Saccharomyces cerevisiae S288C: one gene and its partners. Changing the gene in region 1 together with any one later gene gives a genetic interaction. Each region holds a gene or a part of one and is shown in the gene's direction. Other genes may lie near its edges. The genes, in order: RPT3, ISU1, BUL1 and PGM1.

Region 1 (7,488 bases):
TGAAAAAGAAATTAAATGAATTGTATTCTAGGTTTAACTTCCACCGAGATCAATTATCCTTTCAAGTTAACAAGGCCAAAAAATCAATTCAAGAGGCAAACAGGAAGTTGTCTGAGCAAGAGAATGAAATCAACGATTCCCGTTTAAACTATAATAAAGATGAATTGACCAGTGCGAAAATTGAAGGATTGCCCTCCGAAAGGGAACAACATAGAAAAAAATGGTCTAGAAAGTTAGAGTTTTATTTTGACTCATTACAGGAGACGTTATTTACTGCCACACGTGCTTTAAATGATGTGACCGGTTATTCTGGAATTCAAAAGCTCAAATCTAGCATCAGTCTAATGGAAAAAAAATTAGAAGCTACAAAGAAAGAACACAAACTGTTTAAGGCACAGTACGCTAACGCCATTGATGAACGTGCTCAATCCCAAAGAGAAGTTAACGAATTATTGCAAAGGCAAAGCGCGTGGTCTTCGAGCGATTTAGAGAGATTTACGCAGCTATACAAAAATGACGCCTTGAATGCTAGACAGGAGCAAGAACTAAAAAACAAGGTTAAAGAAATTGAAAGCAAAGAAGAACAACTAAATGACGACTTGTATAGAGCAATTTTGACCAGGTACCATGAGGAACAAATATGGTCAGACAAAATCCGAAGAACATCCACCTGGGGTACATTCATCTTAATGGGTATGAATATATTCTTGTTTATTGTCCTACAATTACTATTAGAACCTTGGAAACGGAAAAGGTTAGTAGGATCGTTTGAAGACAAAGTCAAAAGCGCTCTCAACGAATATGCCAAGGAGCAGAATATGAAGATGGATAAATTGTTACCTGGAAAATCATCGGAAGTAACAGACCAAGGCAACACAGAAAACTCGATCGTTGAAGAGCACATAGAACAGAGAGGTGAATGTAAAATTAATACGGCGGAAATCGACAGGCCTGAAGTTGCAACGGCTGAGACCACTACAACAGAAATGAAATCCTTCAGAGATATTTGGGAACGAATAAAGGCACTTTTTGTCACACTAAAAAGCATACAATATAGGAAACTTGACGCTCCCCTAGTCTTTGACACCTTAGAGTTCTACTTATACTCAATTTCTTTAGTGAGTATGACAATCTTGGTATCCGGGCTGATATGACATGATATACTGCGCAAGAATATCGTTAAAAAAACACGCATGCATTTTTTTCATCCTTTATCCTTGTACATAATAAAATCATAAATACACAGTAAATAGCACGTTTTGGTTTCAATATCCTTAACCTTACCTAGCTAATGTTTAGCTGGTGTAATCCATTATAATCAAAATTTCTCTAATGTTTGGCTCTTCGTAGCGCGCGATGTGCCCTTTCATATTTTTCCTGAAAGTAAGGTGGCAAAATAGTAAATCTGCAGTAATTGGGTATAGCCATGAATATAGGAAGTAATAGGGCTCAGATTCTCAGTGTGTGGACAAACCAATTCTGCCTATTTCCTTTCACTCATAAGTTATACAAGAGGCAATCGGATAAAATTCAAGTATTTATAAAGTAAAAACCACAACAAGAATGGAGGAACTAGGTATTGTGACACCTGTCGAAAAGGCAGTCGAAGAAAAACCAGCCGTCAAATCATACGCATCATTGTTGGCTCAACTCAATGGTACAGTCAACAATAACAGTGCCCTGTCTAATGTGAATTCTGATATATATTTCAAATTGAAGAAATTAGAAAAAGAGTATGAACTGCTGACTTTGCAAGAAGACTATATTAAGGACGAACAACGCCATTTGAAACGTGAATTGAAGAGAGCTCAAGAAGAAGTAAAGAGAATCCAGTCGGTTCCATTAGTTATCGGGCAATTCTTAGAACCTATTGATCAGAACACAGGTATTGTTTCTAGTACCACAGGTATGAGTTATGTCGTTAGAATATTATCAACCCTAGACCGTGAACTATTAAAGCCATCTATGTCTGTAGCTTTACATCGTCATTCAAATGCTTTAGTTGACATCCTACCACCTGATTCCGACTCTAGCATATCCGTAATGGGCGAAAACGAAAAACCTGACGTCACTTATGCAGATGTTGGTGGGTTAGATATGCAAAAGCAAGAAATCAGGGAAGCCGTAGAGCTGCCATTAGTTCAGGCTGATCTATACGAGCAAATCGGTATTGACCCTCCTAGGGGTGTTCTATTATATGGTCCACCAGGTACCGGTAAGACGATGCTTGTTAAAGCCGTCGCCAATAGTACAAAAGCTGCATTCATAAGAGTTAATGGCTCCGAATTTGTTCACAAATATCTTGGTGAAGGTCCAAGAATGGTTCGTGACGTCTTTAGACTCGCCAGGGAAAATGCTCCATCCATTATATTCATAGATGAGGTAGATTCCATTGCCACAAAGCGTTTTGATGCTCAAACGGGTTCCGATCGTGAAGTACAGCGTATCCTGATTGAGTTGTTGACACAAATGGATGGTTTCGATCAATCCACCAACGTTAAAGTCATCATGGCTACAAACAGGGCAGACACATTGGACCCAGCTTTGCTGAGACCAGGCAGATTAGATAGAAAGATTGAGTTTCCCTCACTTCGTGATAGGCGTGAACGTCGTTTGATTTTCGGTACCATTGCCAGTAAGATGTCCCTTGCCCCAGAAGCGGACTTAGACTCGCTTATTATTCGTAACGACTCTCTATCAGGTGCTGTTATTGCAGCGATCATGCAGGAAGCTGGTTTAAGAGCAGTGAGGAAAAACAGATATGTCATCTTACAAAGCGATCTGGAAGAAGCTTACGCCACTCAAGTCAAGACAGATAATACCGTCGATAAATTCGACTTCTACAAATGATTACCATATATGCTTCAACGTAGGTCTACATAAAGTATTACGTACATTTCTATCTAGACAACACTAAATGAAATAAATACAGACGCCACTTTTTTATCACGTTTCTTAGCGTTATTCCGCGCGCAACCGGACGTCGCTAGCCAAGTTTTTCACTTTTTTTTTTCTGTGATATTTTTTTTTCCAAATGAGATGGTAAGATGAGTACCTATCAACAAGTATCTCAATCAATAAAGTACAACCAAAATATCAAGTACGCAGTCTCTGCTTCATCCCAGTGTAGATTTGCTATTCGATTTGTGTCATAAACATTTAACATTGCGCCCGTCTACAACAAAGGAGATAAATCAAAAAAGGAAATGGTACAAGAACAGGCAATTTTGAGCTGCATTGAGCAGACTATGGTTGCTGATGCAAAAATTATCAAAGAGGCAGAACAGCAGTTATTTGAGTTCCAGAAGCAACCTGGGTTTACTTCTTTTCTGCTTAATATAGTGTCTGATGATAATTTTGCGCTAAATGTTCGTCTTTCTTCTGCTATTTATTTGAAGAATAAGATTCACAGATCATGGGATACTAAGAGAGAAGATGGTATAAAAGCTGACGAAAAGCTTTCGATCAAGGAAAGGTTAATCGAGACTTTAGTTAAAAACTGTGAAAATAACCACATTAGGCCTATCCTGACTGAAACCATAAATGGGATACTTGTTGGTCAGGAAGATTGGGATTTAGCACCTATTATCAAGAATTTATTATCGAGCGGTGACGCATCGTACATTTATCCCGGGTTACTACTACTGTTCCAACTTTGTAAAGCTCATAGGTGGGACATGGTTGGGTCGAGAGATTATATTGATTCTGTTATCGAAGAACTTTTCCCTATTGTGGAAGGGATAGCTTCTAATATCGGTAGTCAAACGGATTACAGATCTAATGAAATATTGTACCTCATTTTGAAGTCATTCAAGTATGCATGTTTGAACAACTTGCCTCAATACTTCAGCCAACCTGAAAGAATTATGTCATGGGTGCAACTACATTTGTATTTATGTTCCAAACCATTACCAGTCGAAGTAATGGAACTGGATCCCGCAGATAGGTCCCTAGACAAAAGGGTTAAAGTGAACAAATGGGGGTTCGGTAACTTAAACAGATTCCTGCAAAGATACAACAAAATTACAAAGGCCATCACCAAGGAATTTATCGACTATATCTTCAATACTATTGTTCCTATAATTCTTCGAGAATTTTTTAAGGATATTGAAGCTTGGGGTAATAATTCACTATGGTTATCCGATTCCTCTTTGTATTTCTTAATTTCATTCCTAGAGAAATGTGTTACAATAGATCAACTTTATCCTTTAATTGAGCCACATTTACAAATTATTTTTGAGAACGTCATCTTCCCATGTTTGTGTGCTAATGAACAATCCATCGAATTATTAGAAGATGACCAAGAGGAATATACCAGGCGTTATTTTGACATTAACAGAGAAGGCTCTACGCCAGATGCTGCTTCAGCAGATTTCATATTCTTGATTGGGTCCAAACGTCCTGAGAAACTGAACAATATTTTACCGTTCATTAATGATATTTTTACTAGATTCGATGCCAATTCCAGTGATATTAACATGGCATTTAAAGAAGAGGGTGCTTTGAGAACATTGTCTAACTTGTTTTCGTTTATAGATGAGCCATCCGTTCTGGAGAATATTTTTGGACACTTCATCGTGCCATTGTTATCGCAGGATAAGTACATGTTTTTGGTTGCAAGAAGTTTGGAAACGATAGCGCTGTATTCGGAAGAATTTAAAGATATGAACATATTGTCACAATTATTTGAGTTAACATATACCAACTTCTTAAACAGTAACGTTTTACCAGTCCAAATTGAGGCCGCAGATGCCATTAAATGTTTAATTGTATCCAATCCTCAAATCCACCCAGCGGTCTCTGCTCATGTTCCAGGTATGATGGAAAAGCTATTGAAATTGTCTAAAATCTTTGAAATCGATATCTTATCTGAAGTCATGGAAGCATTGGTGGAGAGATTTTCAGATGAACTATCCCCATTTGCTAAAGATTTAGCTTCAAACCTAGTCGAACAATTTTTACGTATTGCTCAAGCATTGGTAGAAAATCCATCGGAAACCTACAGCGCAAGTGACCAAGAGCAGGAAATCCAGGCCAGTGGATTGTTACAAACAATGACTACTATGGTCATGTCAATGAATAAAGTTCCATTAATCGAGTCCTTAGCTCCCGTGGTCAAGTTTGTTGTACTTCATGCACAAATTTCTTTTATTACGGAAGCTGTCGACTTACTGGATGCTTTAACTATTTCTTCGCATCTGCTTTATAACCAAATTGCACCACCAATATGGGAGTTGTTACATGATATATTGGATTCTTTCCAAACTTATGCCATGGACTATTTTGAGGCCTACAGTATTTTTTTTGAAACCATCGTGATGACCGGCTTCCCACAAGATCAAACTTATGTTCAACCTCTGCTAGAAATTCTCTCTGCTAAACTGGAAAGTGAAGTTGACTACGACATCGAGCATGTTATGCAAATTCTAATGTACTTCGCACTGTCCATGAGAGACATTCCATTATTCAGCAAAGCCATCAAAGTATCCACTAATGATGAGCTAGGATTGGACTCTAAATGCATCGTTAAACTGGGACTGGCCAATTTGTTTGCTAAACCAATCGAAACTTTACAAATAATGGAAAATGAAGGTTTTACTATAAATTTCTTTACCAATTGGTTTAATGAAAAGTTCTACAGTGTCTTCGCCATCAAATTACAAGTCCTGGTCATTTTAACCCTTTTGAAGATGCCTGAAGTTCCTAATAGTGTCAGCCCACTACTAAATAACCTGACCAATAAACTGGTGGAATTGACATTATCATTGCCAAAGGCAATTAGAAACCGTGATGCTGTTACCGAGGGCAAATCCTTAGAAGGAGACCTGACCCCAGAAGAAGAAGAAGAATACTTTATCGAATGTGATGATGATATGAAGGAGACAGTGTTAGACCAAATTAATGTTTTCCAGGAAGTACATACCTTTTTCAAGAATTTGCAAAACGAAGATGCCGGTAAGTACGAAAAAATCATAAATTATCTGGATGAATCTAAGAGAGATTCCTTGCAGGTAATTCTGGAATTTGTTTCTCAACACTGAGGAGAACACAAAAAAAATAGTGGAATGTGATAGTTTGAAATAAGGATATTAGTTTATACTCTAATATACAAATATAAAAGTTGTTTCTTTTTCGTTCTTTTTTTTTTTTGGACTTGTCTTCGTTTTTATTACATACATGCATGCGCTTAACATATTCCCATGTGGTTTATTTTCGTATATAGCATTACTTTGTTTAGAAGCTTCTATTCAAGAAGAATCCTCCGACTTAACCGGATCAGATACACTATTGTGGTGTAATCTGGACCTTGACTGTCTAAACAACTCCTCTTGTTGTCGTAGCAGCTCTTCTTCCGAGAGACCTGACTTCTTGAACTTGGAATCCCTAGTTTCTTTCACCTTCTGGGAACCCTTAAAATTCAATAATATTTCCTCTAAGAATGGTATAAACTCATTATACTCCAACTCTTCTAGCGCTTTGATCACGTGCTCGGGCGCTATGGTTTTCTTAGCCTCGTTGTCCGCCATTTCGGAAGCCATCGAGGACAGGATCATTATGAATTCTATGCCGGAGTTGATGATGATTTCTCTTGCATCCTTGGTAAACATCAAATCCTGGTCCAGTATTTCAGATATCATCTTTTGTACGGTCGCTAAGATCATTCAGTGTTTTCTCTAAGTTAGTATAACCGCTCAGTACCCGCATCAAAGCTTGAGTTTTGCAACAACAATATAACTAACATACCCTTGGGAAGCGACACATTATCGGAGTCTCCAGCCATCAATTAATTAATAGGTACAACTGTATTAGTAAATATCGTTATGATTTCTTGCCCACCTTATACTGGTAACTCTGCACGATAGAAATCGACAAGGCGAGCAGAGGGCGAAAAGCGCGACCAAAAACCGCTTCCATTTATATAGGAGGGAGAGTGCAGCGGGCTGGGCGTTTTAAAGTGGTGCAAGAGTTAATTGCACATACTGGAATACGCCAAAGATAAGAGCCCGAGCTGATTAAACCAGATCGTAATTTTTGCGGCGACTATTCGCATGAACAGGCTATGCTGCATAGTGGTGGCATTTCTTTACAATAGTTTTGGTTGAACGTGTTGTACAGTTCCCCTTATTCTTTGATTGTCATTTAACACGGGGATGAGCTTCTTGACAAAAAAATTTTATCCAATTTTTTTTCATTTCTTTTTCTAATCTTTCGCAGCTGAAGCGATGAGGTGAAAAAATTAACAAGTATTGGATAGGATATATGTATGTAAAGATAGATGCAGAGCATATATAGTTTAAACTTGGCTTAGCAAGAGGGTAAAAGACACATTTGCCTTATAATTGTTCATTACCGATGGATTCTCCTGTTCTACAGTCCGCTTATGACCCATCAGGTCAGTATTTGTGTTATGTCACTGTAGCTTTGGACAAGCAACGCGTTGGTGTACAGCCCACTCAAAGGGCCACTTCCTCCGGAGTTGATACAGTG
Region 2 (6,947 bases), on another chromosome or scaffold:
GAGTCTCTAGCAAATGCGTAAAGTGTGGATGAAAAACTATTTTTAGCAAATTGGCCCTTAACGTCCAATGTGCTCGAACTATCCAAGTCGCCGTCTGTGTTAGTTTGTTGAACGGGAGAATCTGTGCCGTTCATTAGATAGAAGTTTTCAACGTTTTGATTAGTCATTGACACATGCGAGAGCGATTTGCACTTAATCAAAATATTACAAACGACAGCTAGTTCCTTTAATGTCAAATTATTGCTATCCAAATGTATCCTCTTCAGGTTCGGAAATCTTGGTAAATACTTGTACATGTAGGGTAAAATGTCAGGAAAGCATTGCGACAAATTACTCAAATCCAAAAAAATCAAGTTAGGCAACTTAGAAAGATATTTCAAGAGCAAAGCTAAATCATAAGAAGTCGAAATATTAGTGCTGTTCAAAATGAAATATCTTAAGTTATCATATGATAGAGCAGATAGTTTACCAACCATTGGCTTAATCATAGTGGACAGATCATTAAACGCTAGATCCACACCCTGGACGTTATATTGAGACATCCAATTGAAGATAAATTTCAGACAATCCTGAGAGATATTGGAAGTAGTGGCACCTGCTAAACCAAGCCTGATGCCCGATTCTGGAAAGTTTTTTTGGGTAGCAAAGGATGTCAGTAAACGTGCAAAGCATGAGTAAGGAATTTTGCTAAATTGAATACCATTGAATAACAATTCTTCTATAGGTTTGTGAGATCTCTGAGACAAGACGTCAGTAAACAAGTTCCAATCCATGTTATGGCGATATAGTGATTCAGCAAGGTCAGATTTGATTTTCGTTTGGGAAATGTCGAGCTTGTTCAGTGATTTGTTTAGCAAAAGGAACTTACATAGTAATTTCCATCCATCTTGGTCGATTCGTACATTTCTTAAACTCAATTTGTCCAAAACTGTGGAGTTTACCAAAGCAGAAATAATTATTCTGAACATATCCTGGTTTAAAGCTACATTGTCGAAAACAATCGTGTGAATGGGAGCAATGGTGATGAAATCACAAAAGGAAAGAATATCGATCAAGGTAGGCTTAGGGTTCAAAAACTTCAATATTTGCAAGGGAGCTGTCTTGTCCTTTACTTGTCTTAGGGTAGACGGAATGGGTAAAATTTCCCTTAAATGGCAGCATCTTGTGTAAATAACATCCAGCGTAACTTCGTTATTTTCAATAGAATGACCGTCTTGGTACTTATCTTGATCAGGTTCCTTGAAATAGTGCTCATGCATATGAATGGGCTTATCAATGCCGGCTTTTGAGAGGTTTTCTGCAAGTTTATTATTCTCAAGCTCCCGATCAGCTTCAACATTTGGAGGTGACACCTCTTCTCTTTGCTTCGTAATGGTGCCTTCTGATGACTTTTCAGTAAGCTTACCGCCTGCATCCGAAGCAGTCTTAAAATTGGCTACTTCAAAGGCTATTCTATTAGCAGCAAAATGAGCTTCTTGCTGATGCTTAGCAGCCTCCCTTAAAGCCAACTTTTGATTTTCCAGGGCGAGTATATATTCTTTAGACTTCTTAGTGTACAACGGTCCCTTAATGTTGGAATTGGTTGACTTGGCCGATTGGTTGCTACTGGAAATACCCACGGAAATAGAAGGAACCTCGCTTATCATGTCATCAGGGATAAGGATGTTTCCCTTTTTTGGGGTTCTTGAAGGAAGTTGTTGGGGAGGATCGGATTCGAATTTATCGACGGCAAACGAGACCCTTTTCAATGAAACTGTAGATAGGTCTTTTACTGCAAGTGCAGGGGAGGGGAGTATAGGTGTCTGTGGCTTGCTAGCTGTTGGTGCCACTCCTCTCATTGGTGATGATATCTCCTTCACCCGTGGATCAGGAGTCGCAACTGCTTTAATGCCACCAGACTCATTCTCAGTCGTGCTAGTATTAACAACAGGTAATGGTTTCTTGGCAGTGGAAGCTGAAGAAGAGGTAGACCGTTTGCTAAACAAAGATCCAAAAATCGACCTTTTAGTCTTTTCTCCACTAGTCGAGTTGCTTCTCTTGAGAGTAGCATTAGATGGTGAAGAAATTGGCGGGTGCTTTCCCTTGCCAACAGAAGAAGATGCGGTGGCGTTTATGGCAGAACTGGCCAGTCTTGGTTTGGACGAGACCACAGCATTGGATATAGAAGTGGAACGTTTTTTCCTTACAAATTGAGTACTTGAGCCGTTGTCATCATTATCTATAAGGTCTATGGCGTCTACGGTAGCCGGATTATCAATGTCAGCGGAATCGCTCCGGTTACCGCTATTAATAGGAGTAAGTAGCGGTATGTTATCAGTGTCTGATGCAGAGGTATTACCATCGTTCCTCTTCAAATCTGGTTTCTCAGTATTACAAAGTGCTGCATTGGATACAGATGACGACCTCGCACGAGGCTTATCATTGCTAGACCTGTTACCACTCGTGCTATTGTCTCCGTTTTTCGAAGAGGACGTAGATGAAGAGGAGGCTGGCGACGTAGAAGGCCTCGATGGCTTCGTATTTGTCTTCCGTCTACTCTTACCTTTATACAACCAATCTACGGGCACATCGAACTCGGTGTTAGTTATCATAACCTAGATGCTATCTCCACTCCCTATGCTTGCTTTGGTGGACTATTGTTTCCGTTATTCGCAATTTCTATAGGACTACTATAGATTATATAAACTGAATTTTAGCTTTATGCTGTGGTGTTATTTCCCAAAACACGCTCTTCTTTCTTACGCTTTCCGTTAGCTTATTTGCTCACGGTATCAAGATTACTTTTTTTTTTTTTTCTTCTTTTCTTTTTCTTGCACTACCCTCTTCTTCTTGTTCTTCCTTGCGTTTTTACCCCTCTTCCCTTTATTTTGCAGCAAAAAGAAAGATGGAAAGGCAAAAGTGAAGGCATGATGATGACAAACTTGAAAAGAAAGAGAACAGCGAAAAGAGATGAATAATCCATGGCAATGACTGCACGCTCATGGGTATCAATTGGCTAGGTCTAATATTGTTATTGTTTGGAGTATGGCGTAGAGAAGTGGTTCCTTAACCTTAATTAATGCCCGTGCCATGATGATTGCATCACTGAGACGTAATGTGGAAACACCACTTCTCGGTCCGCGGACATCAACCGAAGGAAAAATGACAAGCTATTTCCGTGTATATCCGCGCCAATCCCTTCGGGGCCGAAGTTCGGAGGCTTTATCTCCGCTTAGCCAAGGCCGTCAAAGGCGATAAGGTGCGTTGCACCCCAATTAGCCATGGAGAAGGAAAAAAAAAGCATGTATGATCATGATGATGCAAAAATTGAGAGGAAAAATGACTCAGGCTATTTATATAAGTAAATGAAAGGGTTTCGTTGTAGCCTTTTCTGCTCTCTTCCTTCGCTCTTCCGCATATATATTTGTGTTCAGAGATTATTCTTAAATCCATAAGAACATCCCTTCATATAACAATTGAATAAGGAAAACACAACACATAACACATATTTAACCTGATGCTTCCTGTTATAACGAGATTTGCAAGGCCTGCTCTGATGGCCATCAGACCTGTGAATGCCATGGGGGTTTTGAGAGCGTCCAGCATAACGAAAAGGCTTTATCATCCCAAGGTCATAGAGCATTATACACATCCAAGAAACGTCGGCTCATTAGATAAAAAATTGCCCAACGTCGGCACTGGTCTAGTGGGTGCGCCAGCGTGCGGTGATGTGATGAGGTTGCAGATCAAAGTCAACGACTCTACTGGCGTTATTGAAGATGTCAAATTCAAAACTTTTGGATGTGGCTCCGCCATTGCCTCCTCTTCATATATGACTGAATTGGTACAGGGGATGACCTTGGACGATGCGGCAAAAATTAAGAACACTGAAATTGCTAAGGAGTTGAGCTTGCCCCCAGTCAAGTTGCATTGCTCTATGTTAGCGGAAGATGCGATCAAGGCAGCTATTAAGGACTACAAATCTAAGAGAAACACTCCAACCATGTTATCGTAATGAATAAGAAGATAACCGGGACAAGAACAAGATCAAACCCTCACTAATCAACAAGTTGGACTTAATTTGTGCAAGCATGGATGTTTCTCATTAATATTGTCATATTTCTTTCCCTTAATCTAGCATTTCCTTTCTCTCCCTCTTCTCATGCATATCTTCCTAGATATATTTCTCCAGGGTGAAAGCGGGACGGACGTGCTTGTTTTACCTCACCTGGTACTACTAGTATTTTCATTACTCTTTTTTCATCCTCCCACTTCCCCCTTATATATTTGTTTTCCCATGTGTGGTATATGGCATCATTATTATATAAATATTCTTTAGTTGTAAAAGGCTGTTTTAATTAACACTATTTATCGCTAGACAAAACTAGACTTTCATTATTTCCTTCATTTCAACGCTTGTTTAAACATGTGCTAGGTAAGCGAGTTTTTTACTTTTACTTCCAATAAATATATATATATATATACGTATACATGTATGGGCGGGCTACAACAAAATGAAATAAAAAGCGTCAGGATCATTGTTTTTTACCATACTTGACTTCTCTGAAAAAATCCATGACGTTCGTGAAAACTACCAACAATAACCCACCACCGGGGGCAAGTCTCATGACCTTTGGCGCAAATCCCTTATACAATGCTTTAAACCCTTCCTCACGGTAAACTAACAGCACTGAAGGCAGGGACCAGTTGTACTTCCTCAGCGGCCCGGAACTTCTTTGGATCCTAGATTTTACCACGTCAAATGGTGTATTCAACAAGCACCCGACAGTGCCACCAATAGCACCTGCGATCAAATCATTTCTGGTCTTTTCCGTGCTTGTTTTAGCCGCCGGCAAAAGCTTCCGAATTTGGAATATTATACCGAAATAACCGGCATTCCAAAGAACGTGTCTCCAGATAGTGGCTTCCAACCCATTGAAAAGTGACAAAACACCACCTTTCACAACACTATTCTTTACAACTTCAATGGGTGTCTTGAACTGTGAATTCACATCCTGTAATCTAATCTTCACTAGTTCAAAAGGCGCGACGACAAAGGCTTCCACGGCGCCAGCGGACGCACCACTGTATATGGCGATTTTTTGAGTCATCTCCCCATTGGGCGTGGGGAAAATCTTTTTATAAAACGTTTGGAATGTATCGTTTCCGGAGAACTTAATTGCTCTTTTCGGAGCCTCCATTAATATAGGCGATGTGATACCCTTGTAAAGATGCGAAAATCCTTCCTTCTTCACAATTTTTGTAAGACAATCCATCACGCCCGTGTAGTGATCTACTGCTGCTTTCGCTGCAACAACAGCGGGATGACCTTTGGTTGTCACTTGTAATTGCATTCTTGTCTTCACCACGTCCAATGGATACATCACCAATAGCTCCGAGACGCCGGCAATGGCACCGGCTGTGAACTGGTATATGAACGGCAAAGGTCTATTATCTATAGATGTCATCTTACAGTTCTTTTTCTTTCACCCTCGTTACAGTTCTATCTTGAGAATAAATGAGATAAAGGTTCCCAAAAGTCACTGATATATATCAACGGCGGTCACCCTCACAGAAATACCCGAGAATCTGCCCTTCGCCAAATCAGATTCAGCCAGTTCGCAGTTTTTTTCCCTATCTCTGGTCGCCGCATTATGAAAAGATCCTGGGGTAATAATGGGAATGATTTGAAAAAAAACAAATGCTGGTAGAAAAAGGTCTTCGTATTGCTCGTAGTAATACGGCTATTTCAAGTAACTGCTCGGGCCAGCGGCTTGAGGAAAAAGTAAACCCGTTACTTTGCTTTTTAATGACGCTGGAAATACCAATTACCTACTATGTATTACTTATGCTTATGACAAAGGGATGAAATTCCCGACGATGCAAATTGGGATGTTGTACCTATCCCTTCTGATAGTGAAACTAAAACAGCATGGCCGTTTGCGGATTCCATCTTTGGTTCGAAGACTACAACTTGTTAAAACAGCCTTCTGACCCTTATCAAACGCTATGGACCCGTATTTTTCCCAGAAATTCACAGCGCTTTCTTCTGTCATCAACTCGTAGATCGCAAGCTTTCCATCGCGTAAATCATCGACTGTGCAGTCAACCAGTGAAGCAAACTCTTTATTGGCTCTGTAAATCTCACCGGTACGCCTACACAAGCACGCTGGCATGCTCATAGAGGTGAAAACACGATCATAAGATAATAACATCCTCTCGAAGCTCTCCTCCACTAAAACTAAGTCAACATCCTTCAATGAACGCGCAATGGTTCTAAACGCCGGTCTAATGGTGGATAGTGGTTTCAGAATCCTTTGCTTGGAAGACTGATTCATATATTTGTCCATGTAGTCTTGTAGTCTTGCATACCCCTTGGCATAATTATACGGCTTCAATAATCCTGCTTCAAGCTTCGCATTTATGACCAACTTCAGCCGGTGTTCTGGTGTCATCTCTGTTGACGGATCCGCCGCTGTTAAAAAGAATTGTTCCTTCGGTGTCGGTGCACTGTTTTCGTTTGCATTCGCTAGAATTCGAGACTCTTCCTTTTCTTGATCTTGTTTATCCCCTTTCGAGATACTATTGGAAGAACCTGACATAATAGTAGGCGACCTATTTTCTTGTCTTGCCACTCCTATTTCATCCCTACGATTGTCGTTTTGGTACTCTAATGGCGATTGTGTGGTTTGTGAGCCATTTTCCAAATGAACATTGCTCGCACTGCTGGAACTTAGTGATGTTTGAGTCAATAGAGGATTTTCTAGCATAGAAAGAAATTCATTCAAAGAACTGAATTCCGAACCAACATTCTCGGACACAAATACAGGTTGTTGCGGAAGCAGCAAGCTGGTTGTATCATTTACAAGAGAGGAGTCTAGTTTCGGTGACAGTTCCTCTCCATATGTGGATCCACTTTTATTGACTGGTTCATTCTGATAGTCAGACGGAATTCCAGTGTGTGCTTT
Region 3 (9,530 bases), on another chromosome or scaffold:
AGTTCTCGCTACAGGGAGAAAACAATACAATATATAATGTTCAAAAAAAAAAAACGAAATGAAATCAAAAAAAAAAAAAAAAAAAAAAAAAAAAAAAAAAGGATTTCAGGATATCAAAATAAGCAAAAATATTGTTGCTATTTATCGATTTGTTACAAACGTATATATAATATGAACAATTATAGGTACAAAGACCAATGAGGAAAATGTGTGGAAAGATACGGCATCTGAGCTGCTAATCATCCAGCATATCCATCAACTCTTCCTCCAACTGCGAATCGCTGTCTTCGTTGTCATCCCCTTCTCCTTTATGTTGTACAGGACCATCTTGAGAAGGTTCCGCCTTGGTCTTCTTTTGTGATGTATCATCATGATTGTCCTCGATGCTCCTCTTTCTGTCAATGCCTTCCGAGTTGTTTTCGTCATCACTTTCGTCGTCGTGGTCGTCATCTTCGTCGTCGTCGCTAGCTGTGTCCGGAATATCTTCATCGTCGTCATTGTTTAACCATGAAGTACCAGCAGCGAATAAATTTAGATTTTCTTGTGATGTCAACATATGCTGTTGTTCCTGGGTCTCCTCCAGATATTCTTGTCTTTTTTGTAATTGTGTTTGAAAGTTTTGTAATTCCTCGTCGGAGATGGGGCTGTCCACGATTAACGTGTAGGGTTTTTCATCCACCTTTTTCCAATTTACCAAACACTCAAATATCCAATCTGGGTGAACAATTTTAATCTGTGGGTTGAACTTTTTCGCTAGACGCGCTTTATAAGTGCTAGGGTTCTTGGTGATTAAATGTGTCGTCAGGTAATCTATATCTGGAGTGGAAGTGGCACCAAATGTACTCGTCCATATCACTATGTCCGACCTTTGAATATCGGTCCCGAGGGGTATTAATCCTGAAAAAACAAAATAGCAATTTTGGAAGACTTTTTGCTTCAAACTTGGTATGATTTCCATCAGATTTGGTTCTGGCTCATTTTGTTGTGAGAGCATATCATAATAAGTTTTGTGAATGTTTGATAGCGTACCCATTAAGTAGTATAGTTCATCATCGTCATCAACTAGTAGTTTTTGATCATGCAGGTGTTTTTGTAGTTTGGCCAAGGGTCGATTTTGTTGTTGGACTTCTAAAGATGCTGAATATTCTAGTTTCTTGGTCAACTCTTCTTTGGATTCGTTCGCAGGAGGCTCCTCAGCAGTCGCCAGTTGATGGTTCAATTTTTCTTCTTGGCGTTTAACTTCTTTATCTATCTTTTCTTGTAGTTTTTTTTCGTTATCCATAATATCCGTCAGCAGTTCCTGAGATTCTTGGCTCTTCTGTCTTGTCTTCCTCCCTAGTTGTAGCATTCCTGTAGATTGTTTGGGCAAGAAATTAGAATTAATGTCACCTACACCAACGAAGAAGTTATAAGGAACAACTTTGATCAAGTTTGGACACCAATTCCAAACATCACCTCTGTCGTCAATAACTACAACCATTGACTGGTCAGTGGGGAAAAGTTTAGCTAATGATTTAGTTGTTAGAGACCCATTTTCATCACGCGACAGAATTCTATCGCCAAACAATTCGCCCGTAGGGTCCACGATTTTGGCAATTTGCAAGGCATAAGCCCTTGTAGCCATTGTGTAGATATGCATTTCAAAAAGAGGCGCCACTTTAGCGAAAAATTCCTTTAAACCGGGCCTTACCTTCACGTAGTACCAACATTTTCTTACGGGAGGCGGTCTCAGCATAGAACCATCGTCATTCATGTACATAAGTGGGAGTACTAACTCCTCATCCAACGTAAAGCTCTTGACGTCTCTTAATGTTTCAAAATTCGGATTATTGGGGTCGTTCTTCCACTCTGCAATCGTAGGGTCCACGCCACAATGGATGATGGTTTGATCTAAATCCACCACTAAGATAAGTTTCTTATCCCGTCGCAAATGCTCCTTCAATGCCTTGCCTGTTCTAATGGCTTCTGTCTCGCTAATCTGTAAATCCACGTCCCCGACAACGTCTAGTGGTACACCATCGAAGGCATCTGCAGAAACTTCTTTCCCGCATTGAGTACATAGCCCGCCATACACGATGTCATGGTTACATGGCCTTTTTATTTCGCAAATCACTTGGTTAGCAGTGGCTACTTCATCTCCTACGTCTACATTCCAACTAATCAAGTCCCCCTCGTAGGGACTTTCGAAGAATTCTATGGATTCACGCAGTTGTTTGGTTGGCGGAGAGACACCATTACTTCCGGCGCTGCCGCCGGGGGAAACATCGTGCTCGTTATCATCGTCACCAGTGTCTGAGGCCCTTTCCACCAAATACCAGAACTTATAGACAAGCAACCTATCACCCTCATGAAGGTACGAACCTACGCTTGGAATGAGTTTATCGATCTGAATCGGATACGGCAAGCCTTGGGGAGACCTTATTTGTGTGGTCATAATCTGCTTTGCTTGTGTTTACACGTTCGCGGTCAATGCAAGTACCGCTATATGACTAAATACAGTACCCTGGCTGCTAATTAAAGGGGGAAGGGGTGATTGATTGGGATGATTAGCTCGTTGTTATTATGTGTTTATTACTGTAGGTGTGAAACGAAAATTTTTTTTTTTCTTTCGCAAGGGCGCGTCTTCCAAAAGTGTCCAGATATTATGATGATATTATTGATGGATACATGTAATACGTAGATTAAATATATGCCGATAGAGTAGGGTAAAAGTATATAGGTTGCGGCATCTAGACGTTTATTTAAACATCGCCGTTCAGTAGTGAATCAAGAGCGCCTTGGACGGAGCCACCGCTTCTCCTGAGGGCTGCGACGTTTCTATCGAAATCGAAGAAGCCCATGTCGTTTAGTTGTCTTAATTGATGTTCATAGCGTTCTTCCGGTGGTCTGGTGTCTTCTGCTTGAGATGCTTGTACAGGGGGTTGGAACATAGACGCTAGCAATGCAGGATCGAAGGCGGGCATCCCGGTGGATGCAGCGTTTCCCGCGTTAGCAAAGGGGTTTAATGCAGGGTTCAGAAGAGACGCAAATGGGTTTGCAGCTGTGTTAGCGCCTGCGTTGGTACCTGCATTAGTCCCTGCGTTGTTCCCTGTGTTGGATGAGGAAGTAGTGTTCGTGTTGGAGCCTTCCTCTGGAGCATCGCCACCAGGAGCGGGGAAGGCAGAGGCAGCCCCACCTGCAGAGCCCATACCGGCATTAGGGTCCATCATTCTTGCGAATTGCATGCTCTGTCTAATCATATCAGGATTGGTGAGCATCTGTCTAAACATGGGACTTTGTAGCATTTGCCTGGCTTGTGGACCCATGGCCTGCAATTGCGGGTTGGACTGGATCATAAAGTCCAACATCTGAGGGTTACTCAACATCTCGTTCATTTGCGATTGGAAGATGGGGTTTTCCATCATCCTCAACAGCTCGTCTTGGTTATTCGAGTCGTTGTTTAATGCACCACCGTCCGGGCCAAACATGTCTGCAGATGGCATATTCAAATATCCAGCGTATCTGGCACTGGTCAAGTCGGCCAGCGGATTGAAGCCTGCACTTTGACCTGACGACATGTTCGGGGTGGCGCCAGTGCCAGCTGCTGCACCGGTGGCGGTGGCGTTATTTGCGCCAGCGGCACTGGCGGTTTGTGGTTTGGGTTGTGACTTGACCAGATGGACGCTGTGACCGTCTTGAATGTGGTATGACTCCACGGTTTGGTCGTCCTTTAAAATCTTACCCGAGTAGATCAATCTCTGATTTGCCACCGGGATACCGTTCGCTTTGTTTATCGCCTCCTTGAATTGCAACACTGTGCTTTCAGGTGCCACATTTACTTCCCACTTGTCTTGTCCTGACTTGATATGTATATTCAACGACATTATCGTGCTAGAATGATTCGGTGTCTTTGATCCGTCTTATTTGCCTCTCGTCCATCGGTGGATTGAACTTAAAACTGGCTTTAAATTGTTCTTTCCCTTCAGCGGGCCGTGACCCGCTCTCAGAGGCTATTTTAATAATGATAAAAGTATTGCAATGAAGAGCCGCATAGTGATTATGGAAAGAAGCTCTTAGCAAGGGCGAAAAGAGACTGTTCGTGTGTGTCAACAGGTATATCGTACGCTAAATGGCCAAAGATTTGAACGATTCGGGGTTTCCACCGAAGAGGAAGCCTTTGCTGCGTCCTCAACGATCTGATTTTACCGCAAATAGTTCGACAACTATGAACGTTAATGCAAACACAAGGGGGCGTGGTAGGCAGAAACAAGAGGGTGGTAAAGGCAGTTCGAGGTCACCGTCGTTACACTCTCCAAAATCATGGATAAGAAGCGCGTCTGCTACGGGGATCCTTGGACTAAGACGTCCCGAACTAGCACATTCTCATTCGCATGCTCCTTCCACCGGAACGCCTGCTGGAGGTAATCGTTCTCCTTTGAGAAGATCAACTGCAAATGCGACCCCCGTCGAGACCGGAAGGTCCTTGACCGACGGAGATATCAACAATGTTGTTGATGTACTGCCCTCATTTGAGATGTACAATACCCTGCATAGGCACATTCCGCAGGGCAACGTCGATCCAGATAGGCATGATTTCCCACCTTCATACCAAGAGGCCAATAATTCTACTGCAACAGGTGCTGCGGGCTCGAGCGCTGATCTCTCACATCAATCATTGTCCACTGACGCATTGGGTGCCACACGTTCTTCGTCAACATCAAATTTAGAAAACTTAATTCCCCTTCGAACCGAACATCACAGTATTGCAGCACATCAATCAACCGCTGTCGATGAAGATTCACTGGATATACCTCCCATACTTGATGACTTGAACGATACAGACAACATTTTCATCGACAAATTGTACACTTTACCAAAAATGTCCACACCCATCGAAATCACCATCAAGACGACGAAGCATGCACCTATACCACACGTGAAGCCGGAGGAGGAGTCCATTTTGAAAGAGTATACGTCGGGGGATTTGATTCATGGTTTTATCACTATTGAAAACAAATCTCAAGCAAACCTAAAGTTTGAAATGTTCTATGTCACTTTAGAGTCTTACATTTCCATTATTGATAAAGTAAAGAGTAAAAGAACGATTAAACGGTTTTTAAGGATGGTAGACTTGAGCGCTTCTTGGTCATACTCGAAAATAGCACTGGGGTCCGGTGTGGACTTCATTCCCGCAGATGTTGACTACGATGGTTCTGTATTTGGGCTAAACAATAGCCGGGTTCTGGAACCCGGAGTCAAGTACAAGAAATTCTTCATTTTCAAATTGCCACTGCAATTGCTAGATGTCACTTGTAAGCAGGAGCATTTCTCTCATTGTTTGTTACCTCCCAGTTTTGGTATTGATAAATATAGGAACAATTGCAAATATTCCGGTATCAAAGTCAATAGGGTACTTGGGTGCGGTCATTTAGGTACAAAGGGCTCCCCCATCTTAACTAACGATATGTCTGATGACAACCTTTCGATCAATTACACTATTGATGCAAGGATTGTCGGTAAAGATCAAAAGGCCTCTAAACTGTATATTATGAAGGAAAGAGAATATAATCTAAGAGTAATCCCTTTTGGTTTTGACGCCAATGTCGTCGGAGAAAGAACCACTATGAGTCAGCTGAATGATATCACCAAACTAGTGCAGGAAAGGTTGGATGCTCTTAGAAAAATCTTTCAGAGATTAGAGAAAAAAGAACCCATAACGAACCGCGACATTCACGGTGCAGACTTGAGTGGTACCATTGATGATTCTATTGAATCAGACTCCCAAGAAATTTTGCAGAGGAAATTGGACCAACTGCACATTAAGAACAGAAATAACTATTTAGTCAACTATAACGATTTGAAGTTGGGCCACGATTTGGACAATGGCCGCAGTGGAAATAGTGGTCATAATACCGATACTTCCAGAGCTTGGGGTCCCTTTGTTGAAAGTGAACTAAAATATAAACTGAAAAACAAATCCAATTCCTCCTCATTTCTGAACTTCTCTCATTTTTTAAACAGCAGTTCCAGCTCAATGTCCTCTTCCTCAAATGCGGGAAAGAATAATCATGATTTAACGGGAAATAAAGAAAGGACAGGGCTAATACTAGTAAAGGCGAAAATTCCAAAACAGGGCCTACCATATTGGGCTCCCTCATTATTGAGAAAGACCAATGTTTTTGAATCTAAGAGTAAACACGACCAAGAAAATTGGGTGAGATTGTCTGAGTTGATTCCGGAAGACGTAAAAAAACCATTGGAAAAACTTGATTTACAATTGACTTGCATAGAATCCGATAATAGCTTACCTCATGATCCGCCAGAAATTCAATCGATTACCACAGAACTGATATGTATAACTGCTAAATCTGATAATTCTATCCCAATAAAACTCAATTCTGAACTGTTGATGAACAAAGAGAAGCTGACAAGCATCAAAGCTTTGTACGATGATTTCCATTCAAAAATTTGTGAATATGAAACCAAGTTCAACAAGAATTTTCTTGAATTAAATGAGTTATATAATATGAATAGGGGAGACCGTAGGCCAAAGGAACTGAAATTTACAGATTTTATTACTTCACAGCTGTTTAACGATATCGAAAGCATTTGCAACTTGAAAGTTAGTGTTCACAACTTATCCAACATTTTTAAAAAACAGGTCAGTACCCTAAAACAACACTCAAAGCACGCATTATCTGAGGATTCAATATCGCACACAGGTAACGGTAGTTCATCGTCGCCCAGTTCAGCGTCATTAACGCCAGTAACTTCTTCATCCAAGAGTAGTTTATTTTTACCTAGCGGTAGCTCGTCTACTTCCCTGAAATTTACAGACCAGATTGTTCATAAATGGGTTAGGATTGCTCCTTTACAGTACAAACGAGACATTAATGTGAACTTGGAATTTAATAAGGACATTAAGGAAACTTTAATTCCAAGTTTTGAAAGCTGCCTATGTTGTAGGTTTTATTGCGTTCGAGTAATGATTAAATTTGAAAACCATCTTGGCGTAGCGAAGATTGATATCCCTATTTCTGTTAGGCAAGTGACAAAATAAAAAAACATTAGAAAAAATTCTCGTTACTTTTCTTATAGATATAGATATATGTATGGTTTGCTTATAGATGAAGGTATTTATCGCGTCCTTTGTATTCCCTATTATTAATAAAATTCTTTTAAAATGCATTTTCTGGTGCTCTTTTGTTGCTTCTGTATTTTTTTTTTTTTGGACCACTGGATGGAAAACCTTTGATGATTTTATTACCTTTATTTTAAGTTACTAAAATATCGAGATTTCAGGAACAAAACATAGAATTTTCTTTGTCAAGAAAAATAAAACGAAATAAATTGATGCTTTGACTACTGACTGTCTGTCATAGAGAGAACCAGAACAGCAATGCTACAATTCTCAACATTTCTAGTGCTCCTATACATCTCCATATCCTATGTGCTACCGCTATATGCAACTTCACAACCAGAAGGGTCTAAACGAGATAATCCTCGAACGATTAAATCTCGCATGCAAAAACTTACAATTATGCTAATTTCCAACCTTTTTTTGGTGCCTTTTTTACAATCTCAATTATCTAGTACCACTTCACATATAAGTTTCAAGGACGCATTTTTAGGCTTAGGTATTATCCCAGGTTATTACGCTGCATTGCCAAACCCTTGGCAATTCAGCCAGTTCGTGAAAGACTTAACGAAATGTGTTGCGATGTTATTGACCTTATATTGTGGACCCGTTTTAGATTTTGTATTATATCATTTATTAAATCCAAAGAGCTCTATACTTGAAGATTTTTACCATGAATTCCTGAATATTTGGAGTTTCAGGAATTTTATATTTGCACCAATAACTGAGGAAATATTTTACACGTCAATGCTTTTGACTACGTACTTAAACCTAATACCGCATTCGCAACTAAGCTATCAACAGTTATTTTGGCAACCATCGCTTTTTTTTGGACTTGCGCACGCACACCATGCTTATGAGCAATTACAGGAAGGCTCCATGACAACTGTTTCCATTCTGCTGACAACATGCTTCCAAATTTTATACACAACACTTTTTGGAGGGTTAACCAAGTTTGTATTCGTAAGAACAGGCGGGAACCTATGGTGCTGCATAATCCTGCATGCCCTTTGCAATATCATGGGGTTTCCTGGTCCTTCAAGATTGAATTTACATTTCACAGTAGTAGACAAGAAAGCTGGACGCATTTCCAAATTGGTCTCAATCTGGAATAAGTGCTACTTCGCACTGCTGGTCCTTGGATTAATATCCCTGAAGGATACCTTACAAACTCTGGTAGGAACTCCTGGTTATAGAATAACCCTTTAGCCTTTTTTACGTACTTGTATACCGTTTAAAATTTCCTATGTACTATAACCTTTTTTCACTACTATTATGGAATTCTATCGAGCGACCGGGCTTTTGTTACGGAAGAGTGAAAAAATCGAGTTTTGGTGTTTTGGTGAAAGAATTTGGAGGACTATAAAGTACCTATACTTTGTATTACGGACTCAATAACAAGTCGTTCGTGTCAGTGGTATTGAAGTTGTCAGATCTAAGAGTAGAGAGAAGGTGGCATCTAATAGGTTTCGACGTTTTTCTTTTTTTAAGGTTTTTATTTGGTCTCCTAGAATTTAAGGTCTTAGTTAGTTTTGGTTTGTTTTGTGGGTTACATATTTTCAATTCAAAGGAGAATTTAGCTGTCTTTTATAATGTCCAATAGAGATAACGAGAGCATGCTGCGTACTACATCAAGCGATAAGGCGATCGCTAGTCAAAGGGATAAACGGAAGTCTGAAGTTTTGATTGCTGCACAGTCCCTTGACAATGAAATCCGCAGCGTAAAAAACCTAAAAAGATTGTCGATTGGGTCAATGGATTTACTTATTGATCCAGAATTAGATATAAAATTCGGTGGGGAATCTAGTGGGAGACGATCATGGTCTGGCACGACATCCAGTTCTGCGTCAATGCCAAGTGACACAACCACCGTTAATAACACACGATATAGCGATCCAACTCCGCTAGAGAACTTGCATGGGAGGGGTAACTCAGGGATAGAATCCTCCAATAAGACTAAACAAGGTAACTACTTAGGTATAAAAAAAGGTGTTCACTCTCCATCCAGGAAATTAAATGCTAACGTATTAAAGAAAAACTTATTATGGGTTCCCGCCAATCAACACCCTAACGTTAAGCCTGATAATTTCCTAGAGCTTGTACAAGATACTTTACAAAATATACAACTAAGCGACAATGGTGAAGATAATGATGGGAATAGCAATGAAAATAACGATATTGAGGATAATGGGGAGGATAAAGAATCACAATCATATGAAAATAAGGAGAACAACACTATCAACTTGAACAGGGGGCTGTCAAGGCATGGAAACGCGTCACTAATACGAAGGCCTTCAACATTGCGGAGGTCATATACAGAGTTTGATGATAACGAAGATGACGATAATAAGGGAGACAGTGCCTCTGAAACAGTAAATAAAGTCGAAGAAAGAATCTCCAAAATAAAAGAGAG
Region 4 (4,051 bases), on another chromosome or scaffold:
GGAGTCTAATCCTTGAAAACCCTCACTTGGATATGCAGCAAAATATCCTGGGACTGCTCTGAGTGACATTGTTGAATAACTGTTGGTGATTTCACGCAGCAGAGTCTTGGAAAGAAATCGTTAAATAACATACAAATCTCTCGAGGGTTTTTTTTTGCAAATGACACTTTTTACTTTTTCCAGTACTAGCTAGCACCCGAAAAATTAACTTGACTCGCACATGCCTGCTGGGTCATATCCGAATCTGCAAGAAATTAGGATTACAAATATTTATTCAAACGTTGCACAACCACGCAATAGAAGATAATATCTGTAAATTTTAATCGCTTTCATCTGAAAACACTGAGCCTCTTCTTAATTTTCACGGACTTTTTCGCAGCCCAGGTTTGACCGGCTAAGTACGAACCTCTTTTGTTTGGAATAAGAGTTTGGTATTAATCAATTGTTGGTACAAAAGATTAATAGTATTACTTGTGTTTTCAGAATATAATTGTCCGTGAGCGTCCTAACTGTCATCGAGTTTATAGGAAGCTAATTAGTAAGGACTGACCATGCAAACCCAGCAATGAATGAAAGGATATAAACGAGGGAAGAAATGGTAGCAGTATTAAGTAAAATTGTCCATTTCCCCTCGTGAAATTATCCAAAACGCGGCAGAAGAACTTTTAAGTTATCTACTGTACATAGTGTTATTGTCCTCACGTGAATTGAATTGAAACTTTTTCAGAACATTATCGCTGAACTATAAATGAAATTTTGTAATGATTGTTCTGATCCCATCTTACTAAAAGCATTATTGTGAAGTATAAAATACAATAAATTTCTTCTCAAAAAAACTTGCCGTACATGATATGGAGAAATAGGTGAATTTAGGGATAGTAGTTATTATAATGAGCCTATTATAGAGAATCTATTATCGATTTCTAACGGTCGTATCAATCTGTTGTATTACGGGCTCGAGTAATACCGGAGTGTCTTGACAATCCTAATATAAACAGTCTTAGGGAAGTAACCAGTTGTCAAAACAGTTTATCAGATTAATTCACGGAATGTTACTTATCTTATATATTATATAAAATATGAATCATACTAAGTGGTGGAAGCGCGGAATCTCGGATCTAAACTAATTGTTCAGGCATTTATACTTTGGGTAGTTCAGCTAGGGAAGGTCGGGTTTTGTCTCATGTTGTTCGTTTTGTTATAAGGTTGTTTCATATGTGTTTTATGAACGTTCAGGGTGACGTATTGTCATACTGACATATCTCATTTTGAGATACAACACAATCACGTTTAAAAGCCTTGTTGGCGCAATCGGTAGCGCGTATGACTCTTAATCATAAGGTTAGGGGTTCGAGCCCCCTACAGGGCTTTCTTTTTAAAACAGGATGCTAAAGCCGACACCGTTCAAACACAAGTGGCAGCTTTTCTCGAGAACAGCAATGCCCACAGTTTTATTTACAATTTTACACTATTGACGTGGAGATTTTTTTATCCCGCATATGACCTAGTAGAGGATCTCTGTCTTCCCCTGATAAATGTCAAATGTATGACGTTACCACAATTGTATCACGGTGGTTTCAGTCTGTCATGAGGAATAAGGGCATTCAGTACCGACAATGCTATACTTGTAAATAGAAAAATGATGTTCTAAAATCGGCATTCTCGCTATTTGAGATTTTGTCTTTTTTTACCTGGTATTTCGCGTTTATATTACGGATGCAAGAAAAGGAGAAGGGCGCATCACATCGATTTTGGTCTACCTATAAACATTCTCTCTCTCATCCACTTTCGGTTCAATAGTGCAAAAATAGGTAACTAACAACTCAATTGAATAGTAAATGTCACTTCTAATAGATTCTGTACCAACAGTTGCTTATAAGGACCAAAAACCGGGTACTTCAGGTTTACGTAAGAAGACCAAGGTTTTCATGGATGAGCCTCATTATACTGAGAACTTCATTCAAGCAACAATGCAATCTATCCCTAATGGCTCAGAGGGAACCACTTTAGTTGTTGGAGGAGATGGTCGTTTCTACAACGATGTTATCATGAACAAGATTGCCGCAGTAGGTGCTGCAAACGGTGTCAGAAAGTTAGTCATTGGTCAAGGCGGTTTACTTTCAACACCAGCTGCTTCTCATATAATTAGAACATACGAGGAAAAGTGTACCGGTGGTGGTATCATATTAACTGCCTCACACAACCCAGGCGGTCCAGAGAATGATTTAGGTATCAAGTATAATTTACCTAATGGTGGGCCAGCTCCAGAGAGTGTCACTAACGCTATCTGGGAAGCGTCTAAAAAATTAACTCACTATAAAATTATAAAGAACTTCCCCAAGTTGAATTTGAACAAGCTTGGTAAAAACCAAAAATATGGCCCATTGTTAGTGGACATAATTGATCCTGCCAAAGCATACGTTCAATTTCTGAAGGAAATTTTTGATTTTGACTTAATTAAAAGCTTCTTAGCGAAACAGCGCAAAGACAAAGGGTGGAAGTTGTTGTTTGACTCCTTAAATGGTATTACAGGACCATATGGTAAGGCTATATTTGTTGATGAATTTGGTTTACCGGCAGAGGAAGTTCTTCAAAATTGGCACCCTTTACCTGATTTCGGCGGTTTACATCCCGATCCGAATCTAACCTATGCACGAACTCTTGTTGACAGGGTTGACCGCGAAAAAATTGCCTTTGGAGCAGCCTCCGATGGTGATGGTGATAGGAATATGATTTACGGTTATGGCCCTGCTTTCGTTTCGCCAGGTGATTCTGTTGCCATTATTGCCGAATATGCACCCGAAATTCCATACTTCGCCAAACAAGGTATTTATGGCTTGGCACGTTCATTTCCTACATCCTCAGCCATTGATCGTGTTGCAGCAAAAAAGGGATTAAGATGTTACGAAGTTCCAACCGGCTGGAAATTCTTCTGTGCCTTATTTGATGCTAAAAAGCTATCAATCTGTGGTGAAGAATCCTTCGGTACAGGTTCCAATCATATCAGAGAAAAGGACGGTCTATGGGCCATTATTGCTTGGTTAAATATCTTGGCTATCTACCATAGGCGTAACCCTGAAAAGGAAGCTTCGATCAAAACTATTCAGGACGAATTTTGGAACGAGTATGGCCGTACTTTCTTCACAAGATACGATTACGAACATATCGAATGCGAGCAGGCCGAAAAAGTTGTAGCTCTTTTGAGTGAATTTGTATCAAGGCCAAACGTTTGTGGCTCCCACTTCCCAGCTGATGAGTCTTTAACCGTTATCGATTGTGGTGATTTTTCGTATAGAGATCTAGATGGCTCCATCTCTGAAAATCAAGGCCTTTTCGTAAAGTTTTCGAATGGGACTAAATTTGTTTTGAGGTTATCCGGCACAGGCAGTTCTGGTGCAACAATAAGATTATACGTAGAAAAGTATACTGATAAAAAGGAGAACTATGGCCAAACAGCTGACGTCTTCTTGAAACCCGTCATCAACTCCATTGTAAAATTCTTAAGATTTAAAGAAATTTTAGGAACAGACGAACCAACAGTCCGCACATAGAATTATTGGTCTTGAACAAGCACTAATTTTCCAAAGATGTTTTAACTGATCTTAATTTATATGTAGAGGATATATGTAGTATATCTATTTTTTGCTGATTGACTTATCAATTAGCTTCATAATACAACATTGTTTTTGTTTTTCGTTACTCGCGACTTTCTTCGCGGCAGAGCCGCGCTACAGGAAAACAAGATCAAAACATGCCCCTATTGGAAGGCTTAAAAAATGCTTATCCCGAACGAGCCAACGGTAATCAACACTATCGTCATACCAACAACAGTTGAGTTATTTTTCGCTCCCATACTTTTTAGAATTGGTTTGTTTGTGTTTGGTTAAATTTCAAAGCCTTTATATTCTTTGATATAGATTACTCTACAATTTCTTTGTATACAGCGGGAAATTGACACTTCAAAGTTCCTCTCATATCAACAAACATTAATACAGTTCCTGAAAATGTATTCTTGGAAGTCAAAGTTTAAGTTTGGAAAATCTAAAGAAGA

Evidence for each region.
Region 2: mutations in RPT3 (region 1) and ISU1 together harm fitness more than expected from each alone (negative genetic interaction), as found in Saccharomyces cerevisiae (2 studies listed by BioGRID).
Region 3: mutations in RPT3 (region 1) and BUL1 together harm fitness more than expected from each alone (negative genetic interaction), as found in Saccharomyces cerevisiae (2 studies listed by BioGRID).
Region 4: mutations in RPT3 (region 1) and PGM1 together harm fitness more than expected from each alone (negative genetic interaction), as found in Saccharomyces cerevisiae (2 studies listed by BioGRID).

Annotation. Positions count from the first base shown.
Region 1 is NC_001136.10:1,260,118-1,267,605, forward strand, and holds RPT3 (proteasome regulatory particle base subunit RPT3), read left to right. Parts: upstream 1-1,563; coding exon 1,564-2,850; downstream 2,851-7,488. Other genes in the region: SHE9 (She9p), read left to right, coding at 1-1,154; SXM1 (Sxm1p), read left to right, coding at 3,207-6,041; negative cofactor 2 transcription regulator complex subunit NCB2, read right to left, coding at 6,249-6,652, 6,745-6,781; UTP5 (Utp5p), read left to right, coding at 7,354-7,488. UniProt on the Saccharomyces cerevisiae protein: The 26S proteasome is involved in the ATP-dependent degradation of ubiquitinated proteins. The regulatory (or ATPase) complex confers ATP dependency and substrate specificity to the 26S complex.
Region 2 is NC_001148.4:294,057-301,003, forward strand, and holds ISU1 (iron-binding protein ISU1), read left to right. Parts: upstream 1-3,496; coding exon 3,497-3,994; downstream 3,995-6,947. Other genes in the region: protein phosphatase regulator GIP3, read right to left, coding at 1-2,591; ODC1 (mitochondrial 2-oxodicarboxylate carrier), read right to left, coding at 4,515-5,447; gluconeogenesis transcription factor RDS2, read right to left, coding at 5,832-6,947. UniProt on the Saccharomyces cerevisiae protein: Scaffold protein for the de novo synthesis of iron-sulfur (Fe-S) clusters within mitochondria, which is required for maturation of both mitochondrial and cytoplasmic [2Fe-2S] and [4Fe-4S] proteins.
Region 3 is NC_001145.3:813,160-822,689, reverse strand, and holds BUL1 (ubiquitin-ubiquitin ligase BUL1), read left to right. Parts: upstream 1-4,108; coding exon 4,109-7,039; downstream 7,040-9,530. Other genes in the region: FCP1 (protein serine/threonine phosphatase), read right to left, coding at 236-2,434; ubiquitin domain-containing protein DSK2, read right to left, coding at 2,742-3,863; RCE1 (CAAX prenyl protease), read left to right, coding at 7,379-8,326; ZDS1 (Zds1p), read left to right, coding at 8,710-9,530. UniProt on the Saccharomyces cerevisiae protein: Component of a RSP5 ubiquitin ligase complex which specifies polyubiquitination and intracellular trafficking of the general amino acid permease GAP1 as well as other permeases such as PMA1.
Region 4 is NC_001143.9:201,703-205,753, forward strand, and holds PGM1 (phosphoglucomutase PGM1), read left to right. Parts: upstream 1-1,838; coding exon 1,839-3,551; downstream 3,552-4,051. Other genes in the region: PMU1 (putative phosphomutase), read right to left, coding at 1-69; serine/threonine protein kinase YPK1, read left to right, coding at 4,005-4,051. UniProt on the Saccharomyces cerevisiae protein: Minor phosphoglucomutase isozyme that catalyzes the reversible interconversion of alpha-D-glucose 1-phosphate and alpha-D-glucose 6-phosphate. The mechanism proceeds via the intermediate compound alpha-D-glucose 1,6-bisphosphate.